Linked DNA regions of Coturnix japonica. The protein of the gene in region 1 purifies or fractionates together with the protein of each later gene. This does not show direct contact. Links are inferred from orthologs where the notes say so. Each region holds a gene or a part of one and is shown in the gene's direction. Other genes may lie near its edges.

The links.
Region 2: the proteins of SLC22A15 (region 1) and VAPB purify together in Homo sapiens (co-immunoprecipitation; 3 studies listed by BioGRID and IntAct, with this or other methods). This does not show direct contact. The link is inferred for Coturnix japonica from reciprocal best matches to the Homo sapiens genes SLC22A15 and VAPB.
Region 3: the proteins of SLC22A15 (region 1) and VAPA purify together in Homo sapiens (co-immunoprecipitation; 3 studies listed by BioGRID and IntAct, with this or other methods). This does not show direct contact. The link is inferred for Coturnix japonica from reciprocal best matches to the Homo sapiens genes SLC22A15 and VAPA.

What each region holds. Positions count from the first base shown.
Region 1 is NC_029516.1:71,983,518-71,987,898, reverse strand, and holds the start of SLC22A15 (solute carrier family 22 member 15), read left to right. Parts: upstream 1-1,483; 5' UTR 1,484-1,608; coding exon 1,609-1,695; intron 1,696-4,381. UniProt on the Homo sapiens protein: Organic zwitterion/cation transporter with apparent specificity for amino acids and their derivatives. Has low affinity for its substrates and may regulate their flux across the plasma membrane at high substrate concentrations.
Region 2 is NC_029535.1:10,109,580-10,113,228, reverse strand, and holds part of VAPB (vesicle-associated membrane protein-associated protein B/C), read left to right. Parts: intron 1-1,338; coding exon 1,339-1,491; intron 1,492-3,649. UniProt on the Homo sapiens protein: Endoplasmic reticulum (ER)-anchored protein that mediates the formation of contact sites between the ER and endosomes via interaction with FFAT motif-containing proteins such as STARD3 or WDR44.
Region 3 is NC_029517.1:88,627,491-88,631,139, reverse strand, and holds part of VAPA (vesicle-associated membrane protein-associated protein A), read left to right. Parts: intron 1-1,654; coding exon 1,655-1,758; intron 1,759-3,364; coding exon 3,365-3,445; intron 3,446-3,649. UniProt on the Homo sapiens protein: Endoplasmic reticulum (ER)-anchored protein that mediates the formation of contact sites between the ER and endosomes via interaction with FFAT motif-containing proteins such as STARD3 or WDR44.

The sequences.
Region 1 (4,381 bases):
ATTGCTTTGATGCTTGTCAATTTGCCAAGATTTTTATAGTAAGGAAATGATATTATTTCCCAGACTCATGGCATAGGCCTAAAGGTCACATCTCACAATGCAGCTCTCTTCCTTTTTTTTCCAGCTGTTGTTCATACAACAAAAACATGACAGGCACGAGTGGCACTGCTGCTGATGCTTGGTCCCACTAGGAAAAAATAGTCTCAACATCACAGTTTGTTCATGTTCTGGAGTTTTATTATGAAAGTACAATGAAAATGGACCGTGAAAAGTTCATGGCCACTCTGCATGAATTTGGTAGGGTCAGAACCAAACTCTAGTGGAACACACATAATATTCTCCTGCCAAATCTCTTTGTGTTCTTTTTACTTTTTCCAACACTCAGCAAGTGTGCTATGGAGTATAATTACAGAACATTGCATAGTTAAGGCATCTGTAAGGGAAACTGTTGGTCACAGCCTGAACCTCTGATTAACCATCTGAGGCAAGTGATGGGTCAGCTGCAGGAGCACAGGTGAAGGTAATTCAGCTTTGCTCCCAGAAGGGATGGAGCTTGACTCCACCTCTCCTCTCCATTTAAGGGCTGACCATCACTAAGGTGTCATCTCTTTCTGGAGATTGCTCCTCTCTGGAGTTTTTGTGATGAGCCTCAACATTGTTGAGCATCCATTGCAACTGAAGGCCTCAGCACTGGTGAGTCTTTCCTTAGATACCCTCTTGCTATCTGTTTACTCTGTAATTTCAACTATACTTATATTATTCCAACTATACAGCATCATAGAGTCATTTGAGTTGGAAGAGTCCTTTAACAGTCAACTAGCCCAACTTCCCTGCAACGAACAGGGACACCTACAGACAGATCAGGTTGCTCACAGCCCCATTCAGCCTAACCTTGAATGTTGCCAGGGTTGGGGCATTCACCACCTCTCTGGACAACCTGTTCCAGTGCTTTGTTACCCTTATTGTAAAACACTTCTCTATAACCAGCTTAAGTCTCTCCTCTTTTAATTTGAAACCATTTCCCCTGTCCTATCACAACAGATTCTGAGAAAAGAGTCTGTCCCCTTCTTTCTTGTAGCCTGTTTTAAATACTGAAAGGCTTATCTCAGATCTCCCCAGAGCCTTCTCCAGGCTGAACAGCCTCTCAATCTGTCCTCACAGGAGAGGTGTTCCATCCCTTGGATCATTTTTGTGCCCTTCCTCTGGATGTGCTCCAAAAGGTCCACATTGATATGTCCATTTCTCTTGTTCTGAGGTATCCCAGGTTTCTCCTCAGCCTCCTCTTCCCCAGACTGAACAGCCCCAGTCACTCCTCATAGGGCAGATTCCTCCAAGCCCTTCACAAGCCTTGCTGCCCTTCTTTGAACCTATCCCGCATTGCTCCTCACTCGTTCCCTCCCCAATCCTCCCTGTCATCCAATGGCACCCTGTGGAGTAGCCGAGCCTCCCTTCCCGCCCACCCCCCCTCCATGAACGCATGCGCCATCCCTCCTAACAGCGTTGTGTCGCCGCTTCCTTTCCGCTTCCCTCGCCTCCTCCTTCCCATTCCTACGGGGTGAGGGCCCGCTCCGCTGCCCGCCCCGGGCCGGGGATGCGCGACGCGGCGGGATGGAGGTGGAAGAGGCGTTCCCGCTGGTGGGGCAGATGGGGCCGTACCAGGTGTATCTGTGCGTCCTGCTGGCTGTGCTCCTCCAGGTGAGGGGGGCTCGGGTGACCTCCAGGCAGCGGCAGGGCTGGAGATGCTGCGGGGTGAGCTTGGGGTGTGAGGCTGCTGCTGCCTGTGCCTTGAGGAGTTCTGGCTTGTGTCCTTCGGTGCGCCGAGTGAGAGGCTGCTCTTAGTCAGATGAAGGGCAGCGTGCACTGATATTAAGAGCCGAGATTCTCATGAACTAGGCTGCAATATCTGTTGGATATTCTGCAGGGATCCAGCACGACTTCAGGTTGGGTATTAGGAATATTTCTTCTTAAAAGATGTGGCGAGGCAGTGGCACGGCTGCCCAGGGAGGTGATACAGTCTCTGTCCCTGGAGATGTTCAGAAACCGTGTGGATGTGGCACTGAGGGACACGGCTTAGTGGGCACGGTTGGACTAGTTCATCTTAAAGGTCTTTTCCAACCTAAATGATTCTATGAAGCAGATGTGAAGAGAACGTCCATTTTCATAGTCTGGCCTAAGCATAGCTTAGCTAACCACAGCTGAAATCTGACACAAGTTTAGTTTACTAGCTAAGGGATTGATGGAGATAGTAAGAAACTCTGGAAGATAACCAACAAAGTTTAGATGCTCGGTACAGTCAGTTGGGGATTCTGAATGTGCTTGCAAAGCTGAGAAGTTGAATGGCAAAGACCTTGTAGGTTTCTATTCCCTGCTTATCCCCATTCATTTTCCTCTGCCATCTTTGCTTTATCTGAATGGTATTTAAAGATAAGCACTGATTAGAGCTTGGAGCCATCCAGACAACCTGTGTGCTCACTGAAGGTTAGGGAGTAAGGAGTTATTAGGTATTTCTTCCAGTGCTGGTCATGTTTTACAACTATGACAAGTACTCTGTATTCCCAGTGTTTTAGGCAGTGTGACTCAACTGTTCTGTAATGCTTTTTCTTGTTCATTTGCTTTGTAACAACTTATTACTCCAGTCAGAAGTAGACTGTATCTTTACAAATCACATAATAAATTCAGGGTAGTTATAAGAAGGAAATGTAACAGGTGTATGGGTCTGTTTGTTTTCCTCGTGTTGAGTTCCTGAACTTTACCCATGGGAATCATCCTCTGACTGATATAAACTCCTGTGCCTGTACAGATGTGAAGTACAGATAATATTACGGATGGAGGTTTTTGCCTTTCCTTGTAGGTTTTGTGCTTTCTTTTATCTCTGGATGTTTCTTATCTATTGACCTTAGTAACACTTTGTAGTTGCTTTCCCTCATGTTACAGTGGGTTTGTTCTCATATAAACTTCCATATTAAGCTGCTTTTTCCTTACTATGATGTAAGGTGATGATGATAAGGTGACTGCGATGAGCGACTGAAGGAGCTGGGGCTTCAGTCTGGGGAAGAGGAGGCTGAGGAGAGACCTTATTGCTCTCCTCCAATACCTGAAAAGTACTTACAGTGAGAGTGGGGTTGGTCTCTTCTCACTGGTGATGGAATGAGGGGAAATGGCCTCAAGTTGTGCCAGGGGAAGTTTAGATTGGATACTAGGAAACACTTCTTTACATAAAGGGCTGTTAAGCATTGGAATAGTCTCCACAAGGAGGTGGTTGAGTCACCATCCCTGGATGTGTTTAAAAACTGCTCAGGTGTCGTGCTCAGGGACATGATTTAGTGGAGGGCTGTTAGGGTAGTATGGTTAGGTCATGGTATGACTTGATCTTTTAAGGTCTTTTCCAACCAGAGTCATTCTGTGATTCCATGTCATCATTGTAAAACTAGCCTAAGTACAAGACTAATAGGTATCTCTTTTTCAACTCTGCAGGGTATTTGTTTTCACTTTGTTTTGTTCCTGTATTACCTGCTGTGGTTACTCATTAACTTGTTGGAGCTGTTACTTTATTAAACTATGCTTGGTTTACTCACTGCCAGTCCAATGGCTTTGGAAGACATTTAGGGCATGTTCTGCGTTGCTGGATTCTGTCTTTACAGTAGTACAATGGTAGCTAAATCAGAGAAACAATTTGTTTTAAATTCTATAGGCTTACCTGAAACCCGTATTTAAACAGAGGATACGGGGTTAGGCTACTTTCATGAACTGTAGGCTATGTTAATCTTGTATACTGAAGAGTTAGGGAGCAATAAGGTGAGCTGATGACTCATAGAATACTTATAACTTTACCTAGAACTGAACGTAGTTGTTTGCCTGCTGATTTCTAGAATAGCTCTCGCTACCTTTTGGAGGAAGTGTTATTAAACAATTGTCTTGTGCTGTTTAATGTGTAGCAACATTGAACAATCTCGTGTCTTGATCAGATGCTTAACAGCATATGAAAAAATATTGTTCTCATGTCTCAATATGTACAGTTGAAGGAGATTTGGAGCTAGGTGACATCTTCATTGGGTGGTAGTCTGAATAATTAGCTAGGGTGTTGTTTCTTTCTAGCTTGGAATTATCACTAACTAAAGGGAAGATAGTAAGGATAGTATCAAAGCTATTGGAAAAGTGTTTCAACTTTAGTCAAAGACACTCTCGATGTAGTTGCAGCCCTACTGAGGAGAGGTGTTGCTAATCCCCTTGTGGCTGGCAGCGAGTTAATGACCTCCATCATTAGAATATCATGATGCAGAAAACTGCTCTTTAATGAGCCCTCCTGCACAAGCCTTCTGAGGGAAAGCAGGCAGCTTACTTAAACGTTTTGTCCAAGTAAGTTCTCCCCAGACCTTGAGAA
Region 2 (3,649 bases), on another chromosome or scaffold:
GCTTGCTCAGAGAGCAGGCAGAAAGGTGCCACAGTGCTGGTGGTGGTTTGGTTTGGTTTGGTTTGGTTTGGTTGATTTGTGTTTTTAGGTGGAGGCTGCAGGACTGCAGTGCTTTGTTGTTTGTGCTCAGTGGCACCTTAAGAGATGAATTGATATGATAAACTTGTAGAAAAGAAAGCTGCCTCAGGTGATTTTAATCCATCCCTGCTGCAACTGAGAACCTGTCTTGTTTTCTCAAGAGAGCAGGGGGGTGACCATGCGTGTATTTATTATTACTATTAATTATAAAAATGATCATTCACAGTTTTTAAACATTAGGGCTGTCCTGTCTTCAAGGAAAAGAATTGATGGGGTTTTTGTTGTTTCGTTTTCTTTTTCAAGTTTACTTCTATTTCTGAGGATAGGTGAAGGTATTTCATTCAGTTAGCAGGTAACTTCTCTTGTGCAGAAGACAGCTGATCAAAGGGGGTTTACAGTGCTGTAATCTTATTTCTCCGTGATCTGAGTGCAGTCACACAACACCTGCCTCATTTATCCGTGTCTTATAGAAAGTCAGTAATGAGCCTTTCCCCCCACCCAGGGGATTCTGATGATTTCAAGTAGGTATTGAAGCCTATGAGAAGTTACTGCTTGTTGTTTCCAAACTTGACAGTGGTCTGATTCTGGCTTTGCTAATACAGAAATCACTGCCAGTGCTGTCAGCATCCAAGAATTCCCCTCTTTGCGTGTGGTTGTTTCCTGTCTCAGTGAGGCTGGGTTTTTTTTATGAAGATCTCTTCTGATGTATCATTTGTTGTAGCCAGAAGGATTCTTTAAAAACAAGCACATGTGATGCACAGTGGACGCTCATCTTGCTGGTTTTGGCACAGCCTTTCTAAATAGCGGGTGGAAGGCTTCATGGAGGTGCAGTTTATGAGCGTAAGGTAAAGCTTACTGACATTTGTAGGTTTTGATATCCTCCCCTGCTCAGTCTGTACATTGGTGTATATGGCTTCTCTGCAAGCCTGGGTGGTTCAGCAGTTAGAATGGAATAACTGATACAACAGAGAATTTGGCTTCATTTGAATAGCACGTTGTTGTGTTGGTAGTGTGTATAAATGATTCCCCCCTTTTTGTTTGCTATTAATGATGAGCTGTTGTGCTGTGAGCATACAGTCATGCTCAGTGGCCTCCCTACATCCTGCGCTTTGCGTGTGTTGTTATCTGTACGTGCCATAGATGGAAGTTGAACATCTAATTACTTTATAAGATTTGTGAGCAGAGATTTGTAACCTGCTTAGCCTCTACTTGTCGAGTGTTTTCTGATGCAATCTAAAGCCTGCTTTTGCTCTTCCTCAGGTCCATTCACAGATGTTGTCACTACAAACCTGAAACTCGGCAACCCTACAGACAGAAATGTGTGCTTCAAAGTTAAGACCACGGCACCACGTAGATACTGTGTAAGGCCTAACAGTGGAATTATTGATGCAGGAACATCAATTAATGTTTCTGGTAAGTCATACAATCAGTTCTTTAGTGACTGAGGATGGCGTCATCAAATGAATTATTTCTTGGAATGTTTTGCAATACAGAAGTACTGTGTGGAATGCTTGTAAAAGCAGGAGGTTACGATTTCATGGAGGAGCAGCCATTTCATATATATATAAATATATCTTCGCTTCTCTTAGTCCTGCTCTAGCAGTAATGGGTTTGTTTTGACATCTTGTTTTGAGGGAGGGAGGAGGAATATATAAATAATTTATATGGTTCCGTAGCAGCCTTAGCCAGCCTATCCAAGGCAGTGCTGCCGCAGCCCTGCCCTCCCAGTGGGATTATTTTGGTCCGGTTGCTTTTTGCCAGCTTAACTTCCTGAACCAGCTCACTGCAGGATCTAACTAACGAGTGCTTGGACAGGCACAGTCCACATGGGTGGACTGCAGCCACGCTGATTCAGGCTGATAGTTGGTTGCCAGACTACCCAATATAACCAACCAGTTAAGAAAACATTTATTTTGAAACCATGCTTGTTTTGTGTTCCTTGGAGATGTAATATGCTTTGGTGCTAGAAACATCAAGTGACTAAAACTGTGCTATTTCATATGAAAGGTTAATGATTTTCTCTAATGAGTCAGTAGTTCTTCACTTGCCAAAGTTTGGTAATGGAAAAAACAAAGGAGCGGGTTACACTGAAAGCATAAAGGAGTGAGTATTTGTGTAATCTAAAGAACTCTCTCAAAGCATTTCACGGTGGCAGGCTGCAGAAATCAGGTCTGGTTTTTGAGGTACAGGAATGATTTCTGAAGATTTGTTTTTACTACTTTAATTAAATTTTAATGCTGTGTAATAGAAGCAGATGGGTTACTGGCCAATGGGAAGATGATCAGAACAGAAGTTATGTATGGCAAAACACATAACCTGTTAATTAGTCTCCTACCAAGCTACAAGTGTGGATAGTGACAGGACAAAGAGAAATGTTTGCTAGCAAGTAACACGCTTTTTAGAACGTCTTCTTGATCTCAACATCTTTTTTTCTTAAACTTCTGCTTACAGCGACCCTTTGCTCTGCCTTGAGCAGAACATGGGATAGGCAAGTGCTGTGTGAACCTGTATCTGAGGTGCTTTTCCAGCCCCATTCTTCCCAGCAGCATCCCAAACAGAAACCAGACCAAGACGTGACCTGCAGTATCCTGTTGTGAAAGATTGCTGTGCTTACCCTGTTATGCTGCTCTTGCTCACAAAGCTTTGAAAAAACTTGCCTTTTATACGTAACTTTTATTGTAGAATTTGTGGCTTATGATTCAGTTTTGCAAATGATTTTGGAATATTTAATCACAGAGCTTACATTTTTTGTTTTACTTACTTACATGATTCTCTTTACTTAGTCATGGTAATAAACTTTGCTAAATTACCAGCCCTTCTATTAACATTATGTATTAAATGCAAGCAGTTCGCATACATTGTCCTTCAGGTGACACATTAAGGTAGATTTATGGGTAGATATGTTGCAGAATTCTGGAGTTACGGATGTTAATTCTTCATTTTCTAACCCATTCTGAATAGAAGCTGCTGTCAGCTCGTTTTGTGGTTGAATTTCTATTGAAACTCTTGAGCTAATTGGGCAGTGTTTACTCCTTGTAGTCTGTTCTCTTGAGAACTGCTGACTGACTTTAACACAGTAGCACTGACAGAGCACCTCCAGCCTGCAAAGAATGGTCGGTGCCAAAGTACAATGATGTGAATTTGTTTCTTGGAGTATTACTGACAGTTGGGTTCAGGGCAGCCTTGTCTTCCTTGCACCATAGCAGCTGAGTGCCTTTCTTACATGCAGTTCCACAGGCGTGTCCTATTTTGGTTGAAGTTCACGAGAAGGTGTTCTGTCCTTAGAGGCTGCTCTCAGAACATTATTTCATGCCAGGTCTTGGCTCGTTTCGCACACATAAAATGCTAGAAAAGCAAAGCTTTCTTTATTCTACTGCAGTGTTGGATACTGGCTTCTTTTGCCCTATCACAGCTGCTCCTAAATACCAGCATTTAAGTCTCAGTTAGCATGCACTGCTTGCTGCAAAGTCAGGTTTGTAGCCCATGTTTTCACCTGTTATATAATGGTGTGTAATTTTAACAGCTGAGTTTATGTAACTGTCAGGAAGTGTATGTGTGCTGTCACCCTGTT
Region 3 (3,649 bases), on another chromosome or scaffold:
CTTTTTCATTGCTGTAAAACAACTAGCAGTACAGATTCCCGTTCATAGGACTCCATAAGTACATAATTCATTTTATCTGAATTACTTGCATTTATCTTAGTTTTACATGAAGATGCGCTAAACTTGAGTTTAATTTCAGTGAGACTCAAGTTTAAGTGCATTGTCAAATAATCTATCTTTACAGATCGCTCTGGGTCATCATCCTCTGGTAGAAAGCTGGAAGTTCTTAAAGTTCTTATTGTCTAGACCCCTGTCTGGATTGAGACTAATTGTCTTTCATGGTCTGCTCAGTGGAGGCAGACTGTGCTGGTCATCTATTCATCCTTATACTTCAGTAGTCCTACAGTGTTACTATGACAAACCTGGTATGCTCAGATATTCCTTATACTGTGCCCATTACTCCTATAGATAGGCAACTACATCCTATAATGTTCTGGTCTAATTTAGAGACATGATTTTCAGTCACTTTGAACTAAAGAAACCACAAAAATAATGACACCAGGGTGACCTGGCTTCCCCTCTGGGCTGTTTTCTAAACAAAACCACCTTCACTAACAGGAAAGCAGCCTCCTAATGGCTTTGTACAGTTTGGATGGATGAAGATTCTGCACTCCTGTAATTGAAGCATTCCTTTAAAAATACCGTAGTAGTGTAGTAATAATTGAGATTATGAATAATATTACGTTGATATTATTTATTTTTCCACTGAAATTGTGCATACTTCAAAATAACAACTTTGAAATGTGAATTTCCCTTCTTGACCAACAGAATTTTCAACTTCAGAAAGCAGTTATTCAGAAATTGTCCTGTCACAAAAATAACCCTTGTATATTCTATCTCTGGTAATTGTAGTACGAACTCTGTATTTTAAGTATTTAATCTTTCACTTGCAGCTGCCTTTACAGAGAGCTTGGTTTTGAATTCCCTCTTTCTCCGCTGGTAATATGTAGAATTCAAATGCATACATGGATTATGAGTACTTTTAGGCAAATGTTAGCTGTTAGGCTGGACATAAGGATAATAATGTCAAAACCTGTATAAAATGTGTTTTCTAGTTATTCTCAACTAATCACTTTATCTTTTAAGAACTGAATTTGAAACTTCTCTACAGTGAACTGTTAAAGGCCTTGACAGCATTACTTCTTTTAATACTTCTGGTTTTAATTAAGTATTTTAGTAGTTGCTCCTAGCTTAGATCAGTATGCCTGTAGAAGTCAGTTGAGCTTCTACTGGTTGGTGGCTAGCCTAATGTAAGTTCTCTTCCCTTTCTCCCTTGGGTAGATGCCATGAAGTTGTTGAACTCATTCCAGAGTTCTTTTACCTTTGCATTCACTCGGTCACAAAGTGTTTATTCCAAGGGAAAATCCTACGGTGTTTATTTGCTCTTTGTCTTACAGGATGTATTTGTTTTTACTTGTATCCTAAATGTCTTCTTGTATAGTAGGTGGAGAAAGAATCTTTAAAGCTACACTGTTAAGGTGTTTCCTCTCATTACTTATTGCTACAGTGTGTATCTACAGTGTTTTCAATGTTCCCTTCACATCTTTACTTTTGGTGTCTGGTCAATGAGAATCTGATGTATAGCTTTTTTCTTTTTTTTTTTAAGAGTGATTTGATCATGTTCTTAAATGTTTTATTTTACTCTTTTGAACAGTAATGCTGCAGCCTTTTGACTATGACCCAAACGAGAAGAGTAAACACAAGTTTATGGTACAAACAATCTATGCACCACCAAATATTTCAGATATGGAGGCAGTGGTAAGTAAAAATTGGATAGTATGACTAGTTTGGATTGTTTCTTTAAAATCAGCCTTAACTTTAAGTGAATCACATTTTGAAATGTTTAGGTTTTAGAAAATTGAATTTCCTCTGAACAAATACCATTTCCATAAGTGATTCAGGGTTTTTAATACTAAATACAAGCTCAGTTCTCAGAATTTGCCTATTGAACTGTTTAAATCAAAGTACTAGTAAATCAGAGGTAAGGTCTGTTCAGTGTTTAGTTACTGTTGTATAGTATCTGGTCTGCAGCTCATTGGGAGGGAATAAATAGGTTGTATTTAAAGGAATCAAGGGTATATGCAAGCGGCAAGCCTGAAGTTGTGTGGAATGGGTACATTTGGACTAAGAAGCGTTTATCTGAAAAGTTGAATGGTATTGTAAGGAACCAAAACATTTGAAGGATTATTCTGCCTCTCTCAAAGACACCAAGTGGCTACATGCAGCTCAAATGATAGATTTATTTTCTTTATTAGTAGAATGAGTTGTGTATTCTGTTTTTGGGTGGGACTGGTCTGATGAAAGATCCAGAAAGAGCATATTTAGTTTTGCGCCTCTTAATTCAGAAGGACAACTTAGAAGCAATTGGAATGCTGTCCTTCAGTTGCAGAACTTGCTCATTAGAGTATACATGGGCTCCCATGAGCTTGTATATATCAGAGTCCAGGGGAATGATGCACAGGCCCCTGTTTCTAAACACTTCCCTGAGTTCACATGGTGATTCATGCAGTTCCATGCTCACTGAAGGCAGAGGAGGAGAAGGTAAACAAAGTGAAGATAAGGTTTATGAATCATTAAAATCCACTAAGCCTCTGCAGGCTTAGGTTCACTTCCCATATGTATGAAGGCAAAGATTATTGTGGTATTTCTCTGAACTGAAAACACTGGAAAAGTTTTTGTTAAGCTTTTGAGGCATGCAGCTACAAAAATAATGTCTCTCCTCTTTGTTGTCTGGTTTACTTATTTTAATATGCTCTGATAGCTCCTGTTTATGTGTGAGAAGTGAAGCATCAAGCATTTGGTGAGAATATAAAAATCCATTTTAGAAATACCTTTCGAATAGTGGCTTTCTCAGTGTGTTGAAGTAAAGAATATCAAGGAACAAATCTGGCAGAAAATCAGTAATAATAGATATGAGTTAGTGTGCAGTTAATGCCAACGATGAAAGAGAACTAAAGAAACTTACTGTGGAGCTAAGTATAGAATCCCTAAAAGTGTCTTTCAGTAATTTATTTAAAGTGGGTGCTTCCAGGATAGAATGTGAGGAACACATGCAATGAGCATTGATAGACCAACTCAGATGGTGCTCTATGTCTGATTGTGTCCTACAGATATCTGGATCTGCCTTGACATTCACTTGACTTGATTCCGTTTTCAGGCTTAAGTTGAGCCATGTCTGGCTTTTAATACTTTTATAGTAGTCAAAGGTGGACAAAAAGTGTTCAAAAGCAAGTCTGAAAATGTCAGCTGGGCAAGGATAGTATTCAGTTTTGTAAGAGTTATAGGGAAGCCGTAATTGCAGGCTTATGAACTGTTCAGATTTGTGTGCGACTGGCTTATTAAATAACTGTGTTACTTGTTTTAGTGGAAAGAAGCAAAACCTGATGAGTTGATGGACTCCAAATTGAGATGCGTGTTTGAAATGCCCAATGAAAATGATAAACTGGTAAGTAAGAAAAGAGTAAAAAAACCAGACAAGTTTCAACTTGTTTGAAACTTTTTCTTAAAGCTGTTTGATTTGTTGGTTAAATGAATCGTTGGAACCTACTAAATTAAATGGGTTGGGTTGTATAACAACGAATGACTGGGTTGTATAACAAGATATGGGGTGAACTACGTTAAATTTCAGGATGAGTACTGATATTCTTTG